Linked DNA regions of Callithrix jacchus. The protein of the gene in region 1 purifies or fractionates together with the protein of each later gene. This does not show direct contact. Links are inferred from orthologs where the notes say so. Each region holds a gene or a part of one and is shown on either strand. Other genes may lie near its edges.

Region 1 (2,800 bases):
GCAGCTCACCCCAGGGTAGGGCCATGCCTGTTAACAGCAGGGCACCTGGGAGTCTAGAGGGGAAAGAGCCACAGCTTGGGGGTTTTCAGTGGGGGGGGGGGGGGGGGGTCTGCTCACCAGGAGGCCTCTGTGGTGCCTGAGACCAGGCTAGGCCAGCTGGGAGGGCCGTTGGCTGCCCCACTGTCCTGGGGAGTGTGGCCCATGGTTGCCCTCCAGGAAGGCCCTGGTCCTGGGATGCTGGGCTTGTGTTTCCAACCTCCTTGCCCCAGCTGTTCCAGCTCAGTCTCCGCCTTCTTCCTCTCTCCCAGGTGGCCATCAAAGACAAGCAGGAAGGAATTGAATAGTGGCCGCAAGGGGCTCTGCTCAGCCTGTGAGCCCAGCTCCTACCTGCGCCTGACCCTCCACCGAGAACGGCCAGTCTCAGCCATGGCCCACCTTGCAATGCCCCCTCACCCCAACACCAGCGTGTCCTGTACAGATCCTCTGTTATATTCCTAATAAAGTAAAGTATGGCAGGACAAGACCTGGATGTGGACTTCAGCAGCAGCAGCTTCACAGGCACAGATTGTCAGGCTTGATGCAGGCAGATGACGTGTTTCAGGGGCCTCCGGTTGGTAGGGACAAACTCATTCTGGACCAAAGCTCAGGAGCTGCCAGGGAGGCAGTGCTGAGCTGGGGGAAGTGTGCAAGCCCATGAGCTCCCATGAGTCTCTGCTCTAGAAGCCTCAGCTGCCGGGCCAGCCTGTCAGTCAAAGTAGGAACACCTTTCCACAGGCTTCTCGACCACAGAGTTTAATAAAAATACTGATAGGGACACCCCCCTACCCCTATCACCCCAGAGCTGAATAAGTTAGCTGTGTCCCTGGTCCTTTGCGACGCGTGAGGCTACAGCCTCCCCCAGATGGCTACGATGTTGGAGTCTGTCAGGGCGGTGAGGTAGGTGAAGGTGGCATTGGCCACCACCGTGTTCACCATGGTCTTGGTCACTGCCTGGCCAAGGGCCCAGGGCTGGGGCCACTTCAGGATCTGGTGGGGAGAGAGGAGGGCTGGGATCCTGCTGCCCAAAGGCAGGGCCCCTGACCCCTTGCAGCCCGAGCCCAGGCAGAATGAGCCGGGAGGTACCTGTGTGGGGGCCTGTGGGGCTGCCGGCAGTGGGGGCGGCTGTTTCAGGATGTCGCTGACATCGTAGAGCCACACGTTGCCCTCTTCATCCCCGCAGAGCACGATCCCCTTATCTGTCAGAACAGAGGTGGAGCCTGAGTGGGGGCAGAGCTCCCAGAGGCCCTGCGGGGATGGGGTAGGCACACGGGCAGAGGGCAGGCTCACCAGGACAGGTGCTGAGCGAGAAGTAGGCCAACTCGGTGGGCGACCACTGTAGCTGCGCCAGGACTACCACTGCCACCGTGGACTGGCTGCCCCGGCCACCCCATGTCTGCCTCCAGCTCCACAGGCAGATGGTGCCCAGGCCGCTGCCCTTGGAGGCTGTGGGGGAGAATTGAGAACTGTGCAGGGCGGCCCCTCCCGGATACCTGCTCCCTCTGGAGACCCTCAGAAGCCCAGCCAGAGACAAGCGACCCATCTGCATGCCCAGAGGCCAGGCTGTCCCTGAGCCGGGCTCACTCACCCACGACGTCCTCATTCACAAATGCTAGCCCATCCACTCTCCGTCCAGAAGCCTCAGAGCCCTCGGAGAAAATGAATTCTACTTCACACACTCTGTGGACAGCAGGAGACACTGGTCAGCCATTCCTTGCAGATACAGAGAGCTGCCCACTCACCCGGGCATCTACAGGGCACCTGCTGGGGGCCCCGACCTGCATGAAGGCCGCACACAAGTTGCTACTAAAGAGACATTCTTGGCTCCAGGATGGTTCAGTTTGCCCTGGGAGGGGGAGCCAGCACCTGAGTGTCCCAAGTCACAGTAGTGACCCAGAGGCTTGAAGGGTGCTTCTTTCAGGACAGGGCTAGGCGAGGTGGTCAGAAAAGGCTCTGGAGCGAGCCAGTGCCTCTGGGACCAAGAGTGAGATGAGCAGGGGCCTGGCCGTCCTGGCAGCCAAATAGGCCAGGTGTTTCCAGGCCATAGCCCAGGGGACTGTCGGGGGCATCTGCTCTGACTCTAAAGACACTGGGGAGGACGGGTGCAGTGGCTCAGGCCTGTAACCCAGCACTTTGGGAGGCCAAGGCAGGCGGATCACCAGGTAGAGTTTGAGACCAGCATGGCCAACACAGCAAAACCCCGTCTCCACTAAAAATACAAAAATTAGCTGAGCTTACTGGCAGGTGCCTGTAATCCCAGCTACTCGAGAGGCTGAGGCAGGAGAATCACTTGAACCCTGGAGGCAGAGGTTGCAGTGAGCTGAGATTGTCACTGAACTCCAGCCTGGACAACAGAGACTGTCTCAAAAAATAAAAATCCAAATCTCACTGTGGCTGAGGAAGCCCCAAGCCCAGCATGCACTGCCTAGGCATCCTTGCCACCTCGCTCTGGGCTCTGTCCACCCAGCTGTGGCCACAGGGCAAGCCGGCTCCCCCACCACTGACCTTTGCACATAGCGTTTCCTCCCTCCACCTGCTGAGTGCCTCGCCAGGCTCCCAGAGAGGAAGGCGTGAGCCCCAGAACCTATTCATCCGCTGCTGGTCCCCTCAGCAGAGTCCCCTGAGGCCCCCATGCTGGTGTCCATTACTTTTTTCCCCTGTCCTTCAGAGTTGGCATCACACGGCAGGGTTTTGATTGGCCGCCTTTGCTTAGCGTCTGGAGGCTGGTGGCCCCAAGAGGACAGGGACCCGATGCCCAGCCCTA
Region 2 (3,820 bases), on another chromosome or scaffold:
CTCAAGTACAGCCATGAATTCCTGGCTACTTCAGCATCCCAAGTAGCTGGGACTATAGATGTGCTCCACCAGGCCTGTCTAATTGTTTTTATATTTTTAGAGACAGAGTCTCACTATGTTTCCCTGGCTGATCTTTAACTCCTAGGGTCAAATGATCCTCCCACCTTGGCCTCCTAAAGCACTGCGATTACAGCCATGAGCCATATGCATAGCCAAGAGCTAGTTCTTAACAGTCCTCATAAAAGGATTACTGTGGTTTCAAACTCTTAAAATTCTTTTTTTTTGACTTAGGTTTATTCAAGGATATTAAAGTTATAAATGTAAAATTTCTACTAAGAATTTTAACATTCAAATATATTTGGATTTTCTTCTTCTTCTTTTTTTTTTTTTTTTTTGGTAGAGACAGGGTCTCACTATATTACCCAGGCTGGTCTTGAACTCCTGACCTCAAAGCCTTAGAATTACAAATGTGAGCCACTATGCCTGGCTGATTTCTATATAAGAATTCTTTATAGGAAAATACCAGTTTGCTTTGAATTTCTATAAGGAAGAAATGGCAAACTGAAAGAAATAATTGAAGTGGGTTTAATGAAGGGAGTATTTTTAAAAGGTTGAGGAAATTTTATGGGAATCAGTAAGGGATGATGGTACACCAGGGCTTTCACCACCTCCAGGCCTGAAGGGATCATAGAAGGGCTGTTACTGGAACCCAGCAAGAGGTATAGCCTTAAAAGAGGGGCTGTCCAACTTGATCTTTGGTAGAAGAGTATCCACTGCCAAGCTAGGGCCACTTAGGGGTCATGGTGGGAGTCAAGGAAATCAATATCCAAGCTTCTCTCCTACCATTTTCCCTTAGTCTTCTGCTGGTTCTTTTCCACTGGCTTCTCCATCCAGAGCCAGTAAATAAGAGAGTCTAGGTAATATAATCTGTAGCCATCAGGCTCTTGGGGCATGGGATGGGTTTGGTGGGACATAGACTTAGAAAGACAAATGGAGAATATCCAGCAGACCCATTACCGGGTCTGTGTGTTTTCTTCTTTACTTATATTGTTTTGGTTCTCATTTTCAGCTCCCACATGTCTTTGTGAATTGTGTTGAATGCTTTACCTTAAGGCTGCTTTTGGAACAAATTTTAAACAAATTGAATAATCTTAGTTCTTCAGAGGATGGATGTTCTTCCGAAATAACCTGTGAAACATTTAATGACTTTGTTCGCTTGTTTAAACAAGTAACCAAAGCTGAAAATCTCAAGGATCAGACCGTATATATTGTAAGTAATTTCATTTGATTAATTCATCTCTTATATGAAGATAATCATTTATTAGATCAGTTTTCATATATTTGAGTCCCATTATGCACAGTACTCTGTGCAAGGCACTTTTGGTGTGCAGAAATGTGTTAAACATATTCCTTGTCCAAGGGAAGCCTCATTTAATAGAAAAGGTATGACACATACAAATGACTACATGCAGAATGTGATAAGTGATTGTCACCAGATGCAAAGTATTAACTGTGTGTTTCCAGTATAACTTCATGAGGTATTAACATTTGAGGTAGACCTAAATGAATCCAAGTATTCTAGGAAGAAATTGAAGTAGAGGAATTTCAGATAGAATTATATAAGTAAGGTCATGAAGGTGAGAATGGAGGCCAGAGAGTGCCAAATAGTCTAGTTATAGTGGGTTATAAAGTATGAAGAGAGAAAAAGAAGACTGGAAGGTAGATTGAGGCAAATCATAGAAGGTATAGAAAACTATACTGAAGTACTTTATTCAATTTCTTAGGGAGTGAAAGAAGGTAGTAAAGAGTTTAGAGCAACAAATATGCCTGATTATTCTGAAGACATGTTAAAATGATCGTCTTTGGAATTAGATAAGAACTGCCCGAGAATGGATGATTTATAAAGGAAAAAAGTTAATTGACCTACAGTTCAGAATGACTGGAGAGGCCTCAGGAAACTTACAATCATGGCAGAAGGCAAAGGGGAGGCAAAGCACCTGCTTCACAAAGCAGGAGGAAGGAAAAGCTCCTTAGAAAATCATCAGATCTAATGAGAACTCACTATCACAAGAACAGCATGGGGGAACTGCCCCATGATACATTAACCTCCACTTGGTCTCTTCCTTGACAAGTGGGAATTATGGGGATTATGGAGATTGTGGAAATTACAATTTAAGATGAGATTTGAATTGGGACACAAAGCCTAACCACGTAATTCCACCCTTGTCCCTCCCAAATCTCATGCCCGTTTCACATTTCAAAACCCATCATGCTTTTTCGGTAGTCCGCCAGTCTTAACTTATTCCAGCATTAGCCCAAAAGTCCAATTCCAGAGTCTTAATCTGAGGTAAGGCAAGTCCCTTCCACCTATGAGCCTGTAACATCAAAAGCAAATTACTTAATTCCTTGATAATATGGGGATATAGGCAATGGGTAAATTCAGCCTTTTCAAATGGGAGAAATTGACCAAAACAGAGGGGCTGTAGGCCCCATGAAAGTCTGAAATCCAGTAGGGCAGCCATTAAACTTCAAAGTTCCAAAATGATCTCTTTTAACTCTATGCCTCTCATCCAGGGCATGCCGATGCAAGAGTGGGTTCCTATGGCCTCGTGCAGCTCCATCCCTGTGGTTTTGCAGGGTACAGTACCCTCCTCACAGGCTCAGGTTGAATACCTCTGGTTTTTCCATGCATACCGTACAAGCTGTTGGATCTACCATTCTGGGATCTGGAGGATGGTGGCCCTCTTCTCATAGCTCCACTAGGCAATATCCCAGTGGGGAACCCTGTGTAGGGGGTCCAACCCCACTTTTCCCTTCTGCACTGCCCTAGCAGAAGTTCTCCATGAGGGCCCTGCCCCTACAGCCAACTTTTGCCTGGACATCCAGGCGTTTCCATACATCCTCTCAAATGTAGGCATAGGTTCCCAAACATTAGTTGATTTCTATGCTCCTGCAGGACCACCACATGTAAGCCACCAAGGCTTAGGGCTTGCACCCTTTGAAGCAACAGCCTGAGCTATACAATGGCCCCTTTTATCCATGAGTGGGGATGTAGGACACCAAGTTCTGAGACTGCGCAAAGCACCTAGGCCCTGGCCTATGAAACCATTTTTTCCTCCTAGGCCTCTGGGCCTGTGATGGGGTGGGCTGCCTTATGAGGATCTCTACATACCTTGGAGACATTTTCCCTATTTTCTTGGCTGTTAATATTTGGCGGCTCCTCGTTACTTATGCATATTTCTGCAGCTGGCTTGAATTTCTCCCCAGAAAATGGGTTTTTCTTTTCTAACTCATGGTCCGACCACAAATTTTCTAAAGTTTTCTGCTCTGCTTCACTTTAAAATATGTTACAGTTTCAGATAATCTCTTTGTGAATGCGTATGACTGAATGCTCTCAGAATCAGCCAGATCACCTCTTGAATGCTTTGCTGCTTAGAAATTTCTTCCACTAGATACCCTAAATCATCTTTTTCAAGTTCAAAGTTTCACAGATCAATAGGGCAGAGGCAAAATGCCACCCTTCTCTTTGCTAAAGCATACCAAGAGTCACTTGATTCCCTGTTCCCAAGAAGTTTCTCATCTCCATCTGAGACCACCTCAGGCAGGACTTCATTGTCCATATCACTGTCAGCATTTTGGTCATGGTCATTCAACAAGTCTCTGGGAAGTTCCAAACTTCCCCATGTCTTCCTGTCTTCTGAGCCCTCCAAACTCTTCCAACCTCTGCCTGTTACCCAGTTCCAAAGTCACTTTCACATTTTCCACTCTTTATAGCAGTACCCAACTACCTTGGTACCAATTTACTGTATTAGCCCATTTT

Evidence for each region.
Region 2: the proteins of LRWD1 (region 1) and ORC5 purify together in Homo sapiens (affinity purification with mass spectrometry; 4 studies listed by BioGRID and IntAct, with this or other methods). This does not show direct contact. The link is inferred for Callithrix jacchus from reciprocal best matches to the Homo sapiens genes LRWD1 and ORC5.

What each region holds. Positions count from the first base shown.
Region 1 is NC_133503.1:11,378,404-11,381,203, forward strand, and holds the end of LRWD1 (leucine-rich repeat and WD repeat-containing protein 1), read right to left. Parts: intron 1,717-2,800; coding exon 1,625-1,716; intron 1,483-1,624; coding exon 1,327-1,482; intron 1,236-1,326; coding exon 1,123-1,235; intron 1,027-1,122; coding exon 886-1,026; 3' UTR 777-885; downstream 1-776. Other genes in the region: POLR2J (DNA-directed RNA polymerase II subunit RPB11-a), read left to right, coding at 309-344. UniProt on the Homo sapiens protein: Required for G1/S transition. Recruits and stabilizes the origin recognition complex (ORC) onto chromatin during G1 to establish pre-replication complex (preRC) and to heterochromatic sites in post-replicated cells.
Region 2 is NC_133512.1:74,525,610-74,529,429, reverse strand, and holds part of ORC5 (origin recognition complex subunit 5), read left to right. Parts: intron 1-1,069; coding exon 1,070-1,270; intron 1,271-3,820. UniProt on the Homo sapiens protein: Component of the origin recognition complex (ORC) that binds origins of replication. DNA-binding is ATP-dependent. The specific DNA sequences that define origins of replication have not been identified yet.